Linked DNA regions of Saccharomyces cerevisiae S288C. Changing the gene in region 4 together with the main gene of any one other region gives a genetic interaction. Each region holds a gene or a part of one and is shown on either strand. Other genes may lie near its edges.

Region 1 (6,411 bases), on a different chromosome or scaffold from region 4:
TAAATAAAAAAAAATTTAGAGATTCTTAATTAAGTCTAAGAACATCCTCCCACACGCCAGGAGTGGTTAATGTTCAAGATTGGTATTAGTTATACACGGTAACCAACAACGTTGGTAAGGTCTTTTTCTTCTATACATGAATTTTAAGATCAAGCATATATTTTAGGCTTGCATCTTGTAATGAACTAACTTTCATAAATAGCTTTTCTTTTTTGTATGAGGTATAAGATGAAAAATGTTAAACATGATACAGGATTTAATATAAAATGGACCAAAATAAGGAGCAATAACGAGATTCACCCCAATGGGTGAGATGAGAAACGCCAAGGTAGTGAAATATTTTTGTGCAACAATTTCAAAGATAAGATCGGTGTTCTCCCGCAGTAGTCCACTTCAGTCGCATGCATGGCTGTTTGATGAGAAATAAAATGAGATATTCAAAATCTCATCAGAAAGAGTTGAGTACTGGGACGACACATATCAGCAACGAGACATAATCGTCAACTGTTTCCCTTTAGATGATTTTCCAAAGTGTGGAAATCACTTGCCATCTTATCTAACATGTGACAATGAATGTAGTTTTCTTTAACATTGGTGAAAAATAACTTGGCAATAGTAACATATTTCAGAGATAATTGGTACTTTTCGGCAAATCCTTGCCCCTTTCCACCATTTTTATGTTTTGATGAATGATTTTCCCCGTAACGTAAAAGATTCAAAGTAGAAACAGTTTGATGCGAATCATTTAAGCCGCTGAAGTTAATACCTTCTAGGCCGGTATCCGATAGGAAATGTGCTGAACGAGGCAAGTCTGTCACTGCCCTGTCCCCATTATCAAAGGAAAATTCATTTCGAATAGGATCCTCCATATTCAAAAAAGAGGTATCGTTAAAAGAGTTAACTAGGATTTCATTAATAAACATTGCAAGCCCTTCAACATTGATCTTTTTGGCTAACTTAGTCTTAACAGCTGCACTTGCACCATTATGGTGTTCATTTGCGGATAAACCAGGGACAAGCATACCATTATCTTTATTTATAAATTGTTGCGTAAATACAACATCAGGAAATCCAGAAAACTCTTGCGGATACAATCTTGAAAGTGTGGGAAGTAAAATAGAATTCGCAAGGCTTCTCAACTCAATAAAAATTCTCAGTAACTTAAAATTTGGAGTTGCTTCAAAATCCAATAAAAATTTGATAATTAGGATGAAGCAATAGTAATAGCCTTGTAAATTGAAGACAGAAAGCGCTTGATTATTCAGGTGGATCCTTGGCAGCTCTGGAGAATTCATTCTTTGGGAGCAATCACTTTCTTCTTCTACGTATAAAGACGAAATATTACGGATTGAAAAGTTCAACGCTACTAAAAATTCACACAATACTTCAACTGAATAATTCTTCAAAAAATTCAACCTCACAGAGTTCAAAAAGGAATCATATATCTTTGCTATTTGTCCTTTTCTAACCTTCTCAGTAAACGAGCGATCAATCTGTTTGATGAATCTCATTGACATTAAATTATTTTTCAAAATTATGGTGTCATCAATTAAGATCGCAATATTTTTATTGGTTGCTGCCATATTATCATTGCCATAGGAAGAAGTGTCAAGACTCCTCTCTAGCCTTTTCGTATCGATTCGATCCAAAAACACATGTGATTTGGTTCCTTTTCTTAAATCGTATTCATAATAAATCATAGATGACCCTAAAAATTCTGGTATTGAGTGTAAGTGTCCATACGTGAAACTGTAATAAAAGTTTCTAAAATCATAAAAATTTTGCTTTTGCACAACATGCCCATTACATATTATCGATTCACTGGCCCATTTTGACTCATTGTCGGGAATATAAATGGTTTCAACATCTTTTTCCTTTATAGACAAATCGAATTTAATATGGAAGAAACATTTCAAGAACTGACAAAAATCATAAGCCATTAAGGTGCATCTAATTTTTGACTCAAAAATGATGTATTGAAGAGGAGAACCAAATGTTAAAGGTTCATTGTTATTATTGATACTCTTCTCAGAATTTGCAGAAATTGTCGGTAAACAGTTTGATCTGATCGTTGAACATAATGCGGACAATTGCCTTTTCATCAAAGAGGAGTCAATTTTCTCCAAATAATCAGCAACTAGAGCGAACATGAAGCTCAATATTAGGGATTGCATCAACCAAATGTTCTGATAACTGTCATTTACTGTTGTACTGCGACACCTTCTTTTAGTCTCCAAAAAAGAATGTAGAATTCTTCTACTCATCTCATACAATTCTATTGTTTGAGATTTGTAACCGAACTTATGCAAAGAACCAAATGTGGCCATAAATAAGGGTAAACAAACGATTTTCGAAATGGACAAGATTTGATAGTGCTCGTAATCATATTCTTTATCTGTCCCTTGACTTAATCGATCAAACAACTGCGCGTTTTCAGCGTCATCATACCCATCCTCATTAGTATATCGTTGCAAGCTATCCAAATCCAAATCAAGCAAGCTTGGGTGAATAATAGGGAAATGGGGAAGGAAATTATTCTTGAAAAGATCTAAATATTCGTTCAATTCACTCACAGCTGGCATTAACAATTCTTTGGACAGCAAGTTTGGATTAGAGTCCATGACACTCTCACTACTATCATGACTGAACTTTTCATAGTATCTAAGCACTTTAATGCACATATTTCTCATTGGTTCATTAAATAGCTTTGATTCTATGGAATGCGATGGCTGATTGTTGTTCACAGTGGAGGCCGGCAGAGCTCTTGATATTTTCGATAACGTTAAACAATCTAACCCATAAAAAGTATAGTTGCCGCTATCTGGCTTTTCTTTCCTGTTTGACGTTGATAAAAAGTCTTCCAGGGATCGTTTAGACTCTTCTCCTTTCAAATATTGACTGAATATGGCTTGAACATCTCTGGTCATATTACATAGCTTATCCAGATCATCTTCGCGATTGGAAGGATGATCGAGTCCGAAAGAAATCAACATATCGTCATTGGTCCCCTCTTTATTCTTATAAATTAACTTATGAGGAGAAATTGGAGAGTTTGATAGGTTCAAATGGGAAAGGTCAATCTCATTTGACGTGGCGGTAGCACTTACGCTATCATCATGTAAAAGTTCAAATTCTTTTAAAACGGCAGTGGTCTCTAACAAATCATTACCTAAAGTATCATTATCCAGCAGTTCTTGAAAATCGACGAAATCAGGTTGGTTGTCTGATACCTTATTGTTATTGCTATTATTATCTATAGCAACAGTCCAAGAGGAGGACCTTGAATCCTTCAAATGATGTATAGTCGATTTAAAATCTGGGACGATTAATTTAGTGTCGTTTAATTCAGAGTTCATTGGAGAAGTTTCATCACTTTCAGATACTGAAAACAAATGATCATTATAGGCTTTTATCCAGTACGACGACGACAATAAGTCTGCGTCATTAAATGAAGCGTTCTTAGAATTCGTGTTAGCGCCGACATATGCGCGGGTTGGTGAGCCGGAAGAATATGTGTAGTTATTTGCTGATTCGGGCAATTTATAATCCAAATTCATTGTTGATCCAGAAGAATCAGAACGGTTTAATGCTATATTGAAATTGGAATCTAGATTTAGGTTTAAATCTAGATTCATATTCAGGTCAAACGAAGAGTCAAGTTCAGGATTCTTCAAGTCAAGTGGAACTAATTCAGGCGTAGAAAATTTAACACGATCCTTTGGATGTTGTTCTAGCGAAGATTGGTCGGGCAAAGCATAGCTGGATGCTGATTGTGCGCTAAATGAAGCCCTGCGCGTCAGTTTTTTCAAGTACTTACGTTTAACATTAGCTTCAGGGCTTGCTTTTCTTCTTGTATTGGCAGTAGTGCGATTCAAAAAATTACCATTATCTGGAGTACCATAGGTTGGAGTTTGAAACTTGACTGAGGATGCAGAATTTTTCCGAGCTTTAGTTATAGTTCTCGACACTTTCTTGGTATGGGAAATCGTTTCCCCTAAATTACCACTATGGATTTTTTGAGCATGCCTGATCAGTAAGTCCCTCCTAGTAAAGCATCTGTTGCAGAGGCCACAGGGATAAGGTTTTTCATTTGTATGCGATCTGTAATGTCTTTTCAAGTGCTCTTGTCTTGCGAACGCTCTCGTACAAACCTCGCAAACAAATGACCTTAGTTTCCCACTGGGGGTTCTACCATTAAGCCTTAAATTTTCGGGCAACTTGTCCAGTTGCTTGTTAATCTTGGAGTTCATATTATTATTTGTGGTAATGATCTTTCCATCTGGCGTCCTCTGTATCACAGAGAAAGTGTTTGAGTTTTCTCTGGAAGCTGATGATGACATTAATAAAATCGGTGAATCATCCGTTTCCATTTCTATTTCTTGTTTCTCATTATTGAAGCCGTTAGAAAAGCACGAATTCAAGTCAACAACGGGAAAGCCTGAACAATCGTTTGGTTTTTCTACGTTAGCCATAGTAATAGAGTATGATTATTTTTTTTATATTTTTTTTTTTTGGAAAACAAAATTCTTATAGTAAAGTAAGGAATAGTAGCAGAATATTTTTCTGAAGTGTTTATAATAAAGGGAGAACCGGGAAAGTAGCAAAATGATTGGTTAATTTATGCAAATCAATCTTATACTTCCAACGAATAAGAGGGAGTATATCAAAACAGAGTAACAATAAACTTTTGCTATGACACCTTTTCTTTCTTTCAAAGATAAAAGAATAAGGCTTTTCTATAGTAGTCGAGCAAATGTTGGAATAAGGAGGTATGGAATTTTGAAAATAGCCTGAGAAATTCAGATCAATGATATATAACTGTTGTCTTCAAAAGGTCTTCAAGGGAAGAAAATTTCCGATCGGAAGTCCAGAATAAATACCACAAGTATAGCACAATAAACAACAGCACAACAACAATAATAACAACACCTGTAGCGAAAACGTTTTCCTATTTTTAAGGCGTTGTTCTTTGAAAACCTGTGGCGAAGTAAAACATGAAAACAAATGAAAACACCGCCAAACCAAGAAAAGAACAACGAAAAAATATCACTTTTATTTAGTTCACAACGGCTAACTATCGACGTTCACCCTTCCTCAGTCTATCACATCGTCCTTAGCTCGAACAACGCCGATAGGCATCAAGTTACATTGAGCTTTACTGCACGTTCCCGCATGATGCCATTGACTAGGGCCCGCCCTTTCGGCAATCATTCTAGCATGTTCCGCATGTTCCTTGACGCCATGGTCATCCTTGCCGTCGCCTCCGGCGTTTCCCTTCCCCCTCAGCTGCCAGGGCGCCGTTCACACAACGCAAGCACACCCGGCGCCAAAAAACCGGGGAAAGACCACGGCGCTATGGTTTCGGAGTTTCCCGCCAATGGCGTTATAACTCCAGTTTATTTTCCTCTTCGTTGGTAAATTCCGGGGAGGCCGTCGGCGCCGGGCCGCAAAAGTAGGACGGGCGATCGGAGCCGCGCGGATGCCGTACAGAACTACATGATGTATTGCATTCTATCTATGCCAATAGTGGTATGTAAATATTTACGCATACTTTTATTGAAACATGAGAACAATATATCTTATAATACGGCACCAAAGCCGAATGTCAATTTAATAGAACGCACGTAGTATTCTTCAAAATTAGCGCGCACGCGATCTTCCTCGCCAACGGGTATGCCAGTCCACTTCACCTGTAATTTGGTTTCATGGAATTCTTGCGACTCATGGAAAGTCATTTCGATAGTAGAGTTGAAAGGGGCAGACCAATCCTTGAGTTTCCAGTGGAAAACAAGTTTCTTGTCCTTTTCGCATGAAACCAACTCGCTGATCACGTTGCCGCCAAAGAGCTCGAATTTTTCTTTGGTCTCCAGCTTCGGTCCGCTGTTGAAAAATTGTGCTGATCTGGTCCAGGCCAATATGCGTTGCTTATCAAGGAACGTTTCGTAGAGCTCGGAGGAAGGCACATTAAAAGTTGGTTCTAAATAAATAGATGTACTATTGCCGCTTCCGTTTTGGGGGACTTTGTTGGTGCTGGAGACTGGTGCTGAAGTTGAAGTAGAAGAGGGAAGTGCATTCTTTTTTGGCTTTGAAGCGGAGTCCTTGATTTCGGTAAAGCTACTTTTTTGGTTACCTCTTGTGTAGTTAGATTTCACCTGAGATTCGGGCACCTGAATGTCATTACCATGGGTGGCCAGCAAATCCTTGCCAAATTGTTGGAAAATTTGTCTCAACTTGGGCAATAACTCGGATCTAATTAGTGGCTTGGCTTCACTCAATTCGCTAGTCTCCTTAAATATAGATATGTCAAATTGATAGCTTGAGGCCTCGCTATCGAAGGCAACTTCAGGAACGTTAATGCTACCCTCGAATGGCAATGCCGATCCGTCCTTAGAGTCCACGTGTCCCTCTATT
Region 2 (4,416 bases), 330 kb from region 4:
GATAGTTTGATCTGAACCAGTTTCCATTTCAGCTTTTTTCAGCAAATTCAACCCTTCATCCGTTCTATCATCAAGGACAAAATCCATTGCCTTTAAGGCGATCTCAAAGTCATTAGCCTGCTTCAGAACCTGTTTTGTCTTTGTTGATTGCTCTTCACCAGAAGATTGATTACCCTTTGATCCAAATGAACCAAATACTCTAAACATCTTCTACTATCTTTCGTTTTGGCGCACTGTTTGCCCTTCCTCCTATTATGTTCTATTTCTTTCTATCAGGTAATTCCTATACCGGTAACAAGACGCTTATATATACAATTCGCTATATATACTGATAGAAATATGCAAAAGGAAGAATGAGTGAAAAGAGCATTGGAAAATAAATTTAGTAATACAAAGGTGGGGAGAATATGAATTAAATAATCCGAGGGACGAAATTAGAAAATAGCCCAAGATAGGGGGTGGGGGTACCGCTGGAAAGACAAAGACTATAAGCATGAAATGAAAAACGACCATTATGCTCGAGAGATCTGGAGACAAATAAAGCAAAAGGTCCGACGAACAAAATCCGCGGAACGGAAAAACTTCTAAAAGTGAAGGAAAATTGAGAAAAAAAAAAAAAAAGATAATATTTTCATTTCTTTCATTCGTCCTTTCGTTGTATACATAAGGGTCATTGTTAACTCATCGTCATTCATTATTAACACAGGAAGAGAACTTCTGCAAATAATGCCAGGCATCATATTCTGACATTTCTGAGATCGCGTTTGATGTTTTTCAATTCCTGTCGGACTGAAAGCTTTGATGGCTTATCTAGAGGGTTATTAGCGTTGTGATAGTGATCGGAAGTGGCAGGCTTCACGTTAATTGTACCGAGAACATAGCCGTCAACGCTATTCCAAACTCTCTGGTCCAGCTCATTCGTTAGCTTTCGGCCATAGAGACATTGATCAACCAGCCACATGCCCACTATAAACGATTTTCTGTCTAAGGTACCGTCTTTTCTTGTGTCGACCATATTGTATATTTGCACTAGAAGATCCCTGGGTAGGTTTGATCGATACCATATATCTTTTACGACTAAGTTAAGCATCAGGCCGTCTTGCGGTAAATTTAAGGGCTGTAAGTGAGACTCGTCGTCTTCATTCGCGAGAGAGGGCCACCACGGCAGCAAGCGCAAATACGAGTATCTGTTTGATACCCACATAGACTCGTATCTTTTTCTTTCTTGTTCGGTAATAAACCCGAGATCTCTATGAGATTTCCACGGTTTATCTTCATTGAATTTGTGAGAACTTGTATGATGGTGCGTGTGTAAGTGATGAGAATTCGGGTTATGGAGCTGATGGTGATGATGATGGTGATGAGGGAACGGAAGGACAGAGGTACTACTCCCAACTACAGCTGCTGTTGTTTTCAACCCCTTCTTTATCTTAGAGCGACGACTTTTCTTCTTCTTGTCCTTGATTTCCATCACATTAGAATCTTCATCTGTGTCTGAGTCTGATGATACAGACTTTCTGTCGTAGGGAAAAGTTTCATCATTGTCTGTAATTGCGTACTTCCCGCGCCTCATAGTTGTCTTTAACTTTACATTTTGCTGCGTGTTTATGATTGCCCTACCATTCTGCGTTTGGTCCGAATACACACGTGATAAGTTTTCTTGCTGCTGCTCAGGTGATCGTAAAAGCCTGTGCTTGAACCTGGGTTTACTTGTCTTCCTTTGGCTTCGCGGTATTAGGTCGGGTAAAGTGCCTTTATATATTATATTTCCTCCATTGAGTTTATTCATTGCCGTATAGTCTGACTCTTGCTGCCGCTGTGAGGGGTCCGTTAGAGAAGCCTTTGCTGAGGCTTTGGACGCAAGACTATAAGAAGACATGGAAGGTTCAGGAGGAAATGCCTCATCGGTGCTTTTTTCTCTATAAGAAGTTTCTTCTCCATCGGAACTTATGGAACACGATGATGACAGCGAGGTAGAGTAGGATACTTGTGGCGAAATAGATCGTGAACGAACATTATTATCATATGACGGCGGAGGTATCCTCATTCTGTTCAATTGCAGCTCATTTTTCAAGGCTGAAGGAGCACGTGGCGGTTTTGTTTCAGTATCCATAACTGGATCCCGGCTGCCGACACCGGATGATCTGTTACTAAATGAATTTGTGTGGGCTAGGTATGCAGCTGTCTCTGCAGCTGCTATACTACTTGGCGAATTTGACGCTTTATTCCTTACATCATAATGGATTGTCTGCAGAGGAGTCGTCGGTACGGAAAAGGCTTCAGAATGGCCTGGAAGCGTTTCCCTAGAGTATTGATGATTTATACTTCTCGGTTCCGGTTGTCTCATCCTCGGCAAAGAAGGCTCAGATTTCACGACAGGCGCAGATTCCACCTTTAGATGTCTCGGCCTCTCTGCGCTACCGGCATTGCCATTGGGGTGGGCATATCTCTTGAAAGTAATCTGAGCAGCAGTTAAAGAATCTTGGAGAGCTTCCTTCGGCAATTCCACCACGGAGAGATTTCCGGAATGCTTTTTTTTGGGGAAATGCATTTATACAAACGTCAGGGCGTGTATTCTCCGGCACTAAATCGACTCTTCCTTGTATAGGCCATCCCGCACTCTTCATCAATTACTAAAAAGGAACCAAATACGTCACTTTATAACCAATTTATTGATGTCGAACGGAGAGCAACTCCCTTGCGCCATCTATCGCGCGCCGTCCCAAAAAGAAAAAAAGCAAAAAAAACATAATTTGAAGAAGGTTCTCTCAGCGGCTAACCTTTCTTCATTCTCAATTATAACAATAATGATACAAATACTGGCCCTGATCAATAGTTTGTCATGACAGCCGTTAAGACCAAACCATATTGCTGTAGTTCATCTCATCCCACTGTTTCATTCATCACCCAAAAATTCATCGCTCCTTTCCCCAATACATATAACACCTTTTTCCTTTTTTAAATTAGTGACGCCTCTGTGAGAGGGTTCAGTACCCATTCCTCCATGGCAACAACTCTCATTTCTCAACGCCTTCACCTATCACTCTTCACTGTCATTTCTTTTTGCTTTGTTATTCTGCTAAATGTCTTTCATTGGTTTTCCTTTATTAAAACATTCTCTGGAGGATTTGCAGTTTCGGAAAAAAGAAATTTAATCCGATATGGTCCAATTTGGGAAAAAAAAAAGACTTGGCTAGTTCTCCTTTTCGTCTTTTAAGAATAGGTACTAATTACGCTACAAGCAGTCTGTGAGTATTGAGAGAGACTAAAAAGGGCAAATTAGTCTGTAGACTTCGCTATTCATTACCGTTAGTCCTTTATTTTTTTAACGTTGAAACATCTTTTTTTTTTTTCCAGCCTTTCTCATTGTAGATCAGTCATTTTTCAAGATGCCCATGGACCAATCTATCTCATCTCCATTGTTTCCCATGGAAAAGGATATTGATATCCCCCTCGATGCTACACCCTTGGCACAAAGTTCATCATTACAGCTTTTTATTCATTTAGCTGAACCAGTTGTTTTCCTCCAAGGCTTTGACCCTCAGAAGACGGAATATCCCTCGGTTGTTCTTCGGGGCTGTCTAGTGGTAAGAATACTGAAACCCACAAAGCTGAAAAGCATAAGTCTTTCGTTCAAAGGATATTCTAGAACTGAATGGCCTGAAGGTATCCCTCCTAAAAGACAAGAATTCGTGGAAATCAAAGATATTGTAGACCATACATGGGCTCTATATCCGCCAACTGAACAGAAGAGCAAGAAAAAGATGGATGCTTCCGCACCTAATGAGAGCAACAATGCAGCTAATAATTTTTTGACGAAGGAAAGTGGTGCCTCTCTTTATAGAACACTGTCTGATAATGAAACTATAACAAGCAGAAAAAATTCTATATCAGGTTTGTCCTCGTTGAACTTGTCACCTCTAGGTGCACCTGGAAATTCCTCTGTCAACGTAAAAGACAGAGAAAGTAGACAAAGATCTAGATCTTCGTCAGTCACTTCTTCCAATGGACCATCAAGAAACCTATCCCCGATAAATTTATTGAAGAGAGCCACGTCTCCTTCCGTGTCTCACCACAACTATAAACCTACGACCACTTCCATCTTTTCCGACTTGTTGAATAACACCTTTACCCATAATGATGCAGCATCGCATCATGGTCATCATATCCCCACCAGTAGCAATCATCTGGCAATGACAAGCAACAACTTCACCAGCGGGTCTGGAGGAGAATTTTTTGTCTTTCAACCAGGCGACTATATTTATGCTTTCGAAGAACTAATTCCTCAAGCATACCCAGAATCTATTAAAGCTGATTTCGGATTTGTGGAATACTTCTTATTTGCCAGTATAGAGAGACCTGGTGCCTTTAAATCAAACATTAGCGCCCGGCAAGTGGTTAATATCGTACGGACAC
Region 3 (3,117 bases), on a different chromosome or scaffold from region 4:
TGGTCAACTTGGACACCAGATTAGACTACCGTGTCATTGACTTGAGAACCGTCACCAACCAAGCTATTTTCAGGATTCAAGCTGGTGTTTGTGAGTTGTTCAGAGAATATTTGGCCACAAAGAAATTTACCGAAGTACACACACCAAAACTGTTGGGTGCACCAAGTGAAGGTGGTTCCAGTGTGTTTGAGGTGACATACTTCAAAGGGAAGGCCTACCTAGCTCAATCTCCACAATTTAACAAGCAACAATTGATTGTGGCCGACTTTGAAAGAGTTTACGAAATCGGGCCTGTGTTCAGGGCTGAAAACTCCAACACCCACCGTCACATGACCGAGTTTACTGGTTTGGACATGGAAATGGCTTTCGAAGAACATTACCACGAAGTTTTGGACACGTTGAGTGAGTTGTTTGTGTTTATTTTCAGTGAATTGCCCAAGAGATTTGCTCATGAAATTGAGTTGGTACGTAAGCAATACCCTGTTGAAGAATTCAAGTTACCTAAAGATGGTAAGATGGTTCGTCTAACATACAAAGAAGGTATTGAAATGCTAAGAGCTGCCGGTAAGGAAATTGGTGATTTTGAAGACTTGAGTACCGAAAATGAAAAGTTCTTGGGTAAGTTGGTTCGCGACAAATACGACACCGACTTTTACATCCTAGACAAGTTCCCCTTGGAGATCCGTCCCTTCTACACAATGCCCGACCCAGCCAACCCTAAGTATTCTAACTCGTATGATTTCTTCATGAGGGGTGAAGAAATCTTGTCCGGTGCACAACGTATCCACGACCATGCTCTATTACAAGAAAGGATGAAAGCCCATGGTTTGTCTCCTGAGGACCCAGGTCTAAAGGACTACTGTGACGGCTTCAGCTATGGGTGTCCTCCACACGCCGGTGGTGGTATCGGTTTGGAAAGAGTTGTTATGTTCTATTTGGATTTGAAAAATATCAGAAGAGCTTCATTGTTCCCAAGAGATCCAAAGAGATTAAGACCATGAAGGAGTCTCCTCCAACGTTTTTATGTAGCGAGTGAAGGTAAAAAAATTTTCAACATTTCTAATTTTTTCCTGTCACCCACTTTTATTTTAACTGAATTATTATATTTAGCTTTACACATATAAGTCTCAACGTCTGACATATGTCACACTTTCTTTACCGCCAGACCACTTCTAATATTCCGAAAGCAAGGGCTATGAGCAGTCCGACAATTCGGAAACCATAGCTCGCCATAATTTACACGCTCTATGCACATATTAAAATACATTTAAACAGTACTTACAGCGCATCTGGGATGGTTCGGTTATGTACCAGGACAATATTAAGTTGACGCGTCAGTTGAGTAGTAATCGTCCTAGTATTTTCGCCTACCATGCCGCTTTTTGCGTTTTTGACCGCCTCTGGTCCCTTATACAATCCACAGGCAAAAAAAAATTACATAACAAGATTACTCTTCAAGAAACCTGGAAAATATTTTTTTGGGCAGTTTTTTAAGACGATAATAAGTTCTATGCCTCATTTACGCACCAGCGGTTCTATTACCAAGCTGACTCTTATCGGCGATGAGTATGATCTAAGGCTCGGGCCGCCCATTTTGCTGCTCCCGGTCAAGTAGCACGCTCCCTCTTTTCTTATCGCAGGCTTTGCCCACTACCCGATCTCTAAAGCGCCCATTTAACCTTTTTTAAAACAACAGCTTAAAAGCTTTTTGGATAAAAAGCTTTTATTACTACATCTCTGCATCTTCTCTCCGGGGTCTAAGAAAAGGGCTCAAATTCGCGGAGTTGAGAAACGAGAAAATCCAAATAAAGCGAACAAGAGGGAAAAAAATTTTTTCTTCCGTTCTTTCCTTCTTCTATACTTCAAGAAAACAAGCAAACGCACCCACTACACACAAAGTATCTTTTACGAAACATAACACAAGAATCCAATGTCAGGGAACCCAGGAAGCTCGCTGAGCGCATTGAGACCTACTCCACCCGAGAGAGGTTCGTTCCCGCTAGACCACGACGGCGAATGCACCAAGTACATGCAAGAGTATCTCAAATGTATGCAGCTTGTGCAGAACGAAAATGCAATGAATTGTAGACTACTGGCAAAGGACTACCTGCGGTGCAGGATGGACCACCAATTGATGGACTACGATGAATGGTCACATTTAGGTCTTCCTGAGGATGCTCCAGGCAACAACGGTAAAACCATAAAAGACGCCACCGATAATAAATAGCCGCCCACATCGGAATATCGAATAAAAGCTAGACGCTGTTGGTAATATCATACTTTCTACAACAACTGGTAAAGAACTTCTTTTTTTGAAATAGCCGCCGATATGGCGCGAAGTGACCCTGCTCGAGGCTGTGCGGGCCCAGGCCCGTCCGTTTCTTTTTTTTCTAGGGGGCGGCAAACGGGCCAAAGGGGTCAGCGTGATTGGGCGGTTTTCCACAAAGCTTTAGTCTCTCTCCTCACGCCTTGGCTTAGTGAGTGGCCGGAGTTAAAGTTGCGAGGAAACACACAGCGAAGGGAAAAAGCTTTGGCGTGCTTAACGATATGGCTTATGGCCCGGTTGCAATGCTGGTTTAGTTTCCGATTACGATTTTCGATTTGAATCCTGGCTCCACATCTCCCACCCTCTTTTTTTATCTCTAGCATCGTGCGTTGGATTTTATATTATGAAGTTCCTATATTAGAATAAAGTTTAGTATTTACTTCCCAGATCTACCGGATTTACAAAGTATTGTTACCTCACCACCAAGTGAAAGGAAACAGTGCAGTAACTCCTCGTGCTTACGCTAACTAAATAGATATTATATTCACGAAATACTGCGCCAGATAGCAAGCAAACCCAAAAAAAAAAAAGAAAAAGAAAAAGGAAACAAAGTGGGAGACAGAAAAAGAGTGAAAGAAACATAGTATTTACCAAGTCGAAGATTTAGCACAACAAAGACTAATCTACACGCATACTGCTCTTCTTCATTATTGCTTTATCTTCCGCGTACCTTAGTTATGTCACAGAATATTCAAATTGGCACTAGAAAACGTTCAAGAGCAAATATGAATAATTCCACTACTACGGGCCCTGCTAACAATACAAGCTCTAACAAGACCTTTTTGGATAAT
Region 4 (3,338 bases):
TGTAAAAGGTAGTAACTCCGTGGCGACAAGAATCTCAAAGGATTGGTTAAAAGATAGCACCTCGAGCAGTAGTACTACCGTATATCATCATTGCCTCCATCATCACACTTTATTATGACAATGAGGACTAATCATTAACACCGACCCATCAAATTTGGGCCCTTCGTCACAATTAAGGTCCGTTTGCGGTTTACCGGGACTAGGCTGGTACTGTCATACGATGTGGTATCTGGTAGACATGGGCGGTTAATAATTCATGGCTCATTCGCCAACGTCCATTTCTCCGGGCGGGCGCTACTAAAAAAATAATGCTCCATTCAACCGAGATGATTCTCTAGTCTCCCCTCGGGTTCATCGAAAAACGCCCCTCTTTTCCATTAAACCGAGGGTGCTGTCAAAATTTCTTACTAAATCACGTGACAAGAGGCGGACTGGAAATCAATCGCCTTTTGCTCTTACCTGCAAGTGAGTTTAAATATCCGCAATAATTATGCTAAAGTTTCTTTTTTACAGTTCGTTGATGTACTGATATGGTTTTATGTAAATTAACAAATACAAAACATAGTCGTTATGGAATAGATATACCTAGTGAAAGCCAAGAGAAAATGAATGAAAGAAGTTTAAGCTTCAACCATTTCTCTTAATCTTCTGATGGTAGATCTAACAGTAGCGGCAGCTGCAGTAGAAACAGTATAAGCACCACCGGCAACGGTCTTCTTACAACAGGAACAAGTCCAAATACCAGCTGCACCTCTCTTAACAGTCTTCTTACCACAGAAGGAACAGTCATATCTGGCATGTTGTTGAATTTCAAGCTTCTTAACTTGTCTTCTCAATGATGAACCATAACGGACACCGTATTTACCTGTGATACCGACCTTCTTTGTTCTCTTAGCCCTGCAAAAAAAAAAAATAAGATGGAAATATTTGTTAGTAAACTAAAAACTTGCCTTATAACTGATTCGATGTAGTCATATTGAGTTGTGGTGGACCTACAGTGAGATTGCCCCAAAAATGCGCTACCATCTATCCTGGCTTATCATTCTCCTCAACTGCGATATTTCGTGGTTTATCAACCCCAGCACTTTCTATTTAATTCAAATCTACCACGCATCTCCACTAACTCCAATATAAGAACATTTAGTCATCCAATTCCTCTATTATATGCATACATTTTTTTGTTTGATTATCTATGCTGTTTATAATATCGTATATAGTTAATGAATAACCCTACAACACGAAGGGCAGTAATATATTCTGATTCTCAGTTGAAATTTCAAATTTTTCAAGCTGGTCTTACTCGGCAGGTAGGAACTTCCCAGTGGGTCTGAGTTTTCTCTCCGGAAGGTATTTATCATTATGCACGACAAGTGCGATTCAATCGAAAGATTATAAATTTCGCGATGAACAACATCTGATAAAAAAAAAATTAAAAAACAATAATCTAAATGATATGTATGGGTTAAAAAGGATGTATGGATGGAGGGTTGGCATAAAAATGAAAGGCAGAAGATGGGCGGCTAAAAAGGTATAGAGATCGTACGTCACCGTCACAAAAATCACTCATAGAATGCACTATCATCCTTACAATACCATACCAGCCGCAAGAAAAAAAGAAAAAAAAATCAATTCATATCATATATTATCTATATCATGCTGTTCTTTCCGCCACGGCCCGTATGGTGTTGGAGTAATTTGATTAATGTATTCCCTCACGGAGGTTCAGTAGATATTCTCAATAAAAGAAGGGTGGGGGTGTATTTGCTGCAAGAATGCGGATGTCAAAAGAACCTCAAGAAGTCCACTAAATGGCAGTAAATGCCGCGCTTACATTTTTAGCGACTGCCGAAAACGTACGGCTAACTGCTGTACCTCAAAAGCATAAAATTGTGATGTTGATTAAAACAAGTAGGCGTTGCATATATAGACGTGGGTAGGAAAAAAGTGAGCGCCAACACTATATAAGAAACCGTTTCTGGATACACCCTCGTGAAGAAATAGGGTCCTGCATTGATATTTTCAAACTTATATAATTAATAATAATTAATAGCGCTTAGTTTAAAGAATTTGAACTATTTTTTGGCCAACTTGGAGAAAGAATGTGTACTTGATTATTGGCATTCCGCGTATTTACGCGGGGATAAAGAGAAAACAAAGGAGAAAAGGAATTTCCTCAATTCCGATGACTAGTACCTCCGAGCAAGCAATCATCGGCGAACAGATGTAAAAAGAGAGTTTTAAACACTGAGTTTTATTTATCAAGAACGTACCCGTACAGCTATCGTTTCAGGCAGATAACAAAAATGTGATTGAAATTAAAGTAGTTTTGTTTGGAATCATGATAATTAAATATTTCATTAATTTGAAGTTACTAAGTAATGAAGCTAGCCCGAGAAACGCAAATGCTCAGAGAGCCCGGCAGTAATTGTGTACACAGAACTATACAAGCCGCTGGATAAAGCTTATTCGTTGATGTCATCCGCTATTACCTCTCCTAATCATGGCTGCAGGAAATCTTTTCTCTCAACATCTTGTACCACTTTAAAATGCGGTAGCAAAGGACAAACGGTAAAACGTTACACTGCCACGGTGTTATAGCAGCCGCAAAGTGAGTAAGCATGTGATGGTACCTTCAATACTGCGTTGGAGAAAAAAAGTGCGTATCTTTGTTTACTTTTCGTCTTCGAGGGGAAGGATCAAAGGCGCATGCGTGCCCGCAGGAGGGGGCGCCAGGATTGGGGGTAGATACAACATCAAGGAAGCGTCATGGTGGCTTCTTGGGTCTTAAATACGCAGGGAATTAAAGTTTCATTTATGTGCCTTTACATGCACTCAAAAACCTTCTTAGTTACAGGAAAAGGTAAAGATACGATAAGAAAAGCCTTTGAACTGCCCATCCTGCATCCTAACACAGATCTAACTCACTATTCGGGTAAGGAAGTGTCATGCATGTCTGCAAAGGGACTAGAAGAAAGTTACATGATTACATAAGCAAAAAATCGGAATTACAGACACACCATTTTTTATCCTGCGGCCCCATTTCCGTCTTCGAGGGAAAGGATCAAAGGCGCTTAGCCCAATCTTGATGATTCACCGGGGAAGAAAGGAATTACAGAACCCCCAGCCACGTAACACAGCCAATTAGTTTTCTATATCGGGAAACGTGATTGATTGCGCAATTTTGGCTGCATCAGAATACATCGATGAGATCTAGAGCACCCTTTGATGGTTTAAGTCCGGTTTAAAGTTAGTAGATCAATGATTTCGTAGTGCATTTTAAAGGGAGCGCTTATCCATGGGTGATTGCGTTTACAACGTTTTGTGTGTACTCATAATAG

The links.
Region 1: mutations in RPL43B (region 4) and ADR1 together harm fitness less than expected from each alone (positive genetic interaction), as found in Saccharomyces cerevisiae (one large-scale study listed by BioGRID).
Region 2: mutations in RPL43B (region 4) and TAX4 together harm fitness more than expected from each alone (negative genetic interaction), as found in Saccharomyces cerevisiae (one large-scale study listed by BioGRID).
Region 3: mutations in RPL43B (region 4) and COX19 together harm fitness more than expected from each alone (negative genetic interaction), as found in Saccharomyces cerevisiae (one large-scale study listed by BioGRID).

What each region holds. Positions count from the first base shown.
Region 1 is NC_001136.10:893,096-899,506, reverse strand, and holds ADR1 (DNA-binding transcription factor ADR1), read right to left. Parts: upstream 4,473-6,411; coding exon 501-4,472; downstream 1-500. Other genes in the region: YDR215C (uncharacterized protein), read left to right, coding at 5,005-5,418; AHA1 (Aha1p), read right to left, coding at 5,580-6,411. UniProt on the Saccharomyces cerevisiae protein: Required for transcriptional activation of glucose-repressible alcohol dehydrogenase (ADH2).
Region 2 is NC_001142.9:276,976-281,391, reverse strand, and holds TAX4 (Tax4p), read right to left. Parts: upstream 2,552-4,416; coding exon 737-2,551; downstream 1-736. Other genes in the region: IML2 (Iml2p), read right to left, coding at 1-207; ALY2 (Aly2p), read left to right, coding at 3,390-4,416. UniProt on the Saccharomyces cerevisiae protein: With IRS4, acts as a positive regulator of INP51 activity and phosphatidylinositol 4,5-bisphosphate turnover. Negatively regulates signaling through the cell integrity pathway, including the MAP kinase SLT2.
Region 3 is NC_001144.5:107,786-110,902, reverse strand, and holds COX19 (Cox19p), read left to right. Parts: upstream 1-1,930; coding exon 1,931-2,227; downstream 2,228-3,117. Other genes in the region: aspartate--tRNA ligase DPS1, read left to right, coding at 1-1,001; serine/threonine protein kinase KNS1, read left to right, coding at 3,004-3,117. UniProt on the Saccharomyces cerevisiae protein: Required for the assembly of mitochondrial cytochrome c oxidase.
Region 4 is NC_001142.9:606,141-609,478, reverse strand, and holds RPL43B (60S ribosomal protein eL43 RPL43B), read right to left. Parts: upstream 1,175-3,338; coding exon 1,173-1,174; intron 898-1,172; coding exon 621-897; downstream 1-620.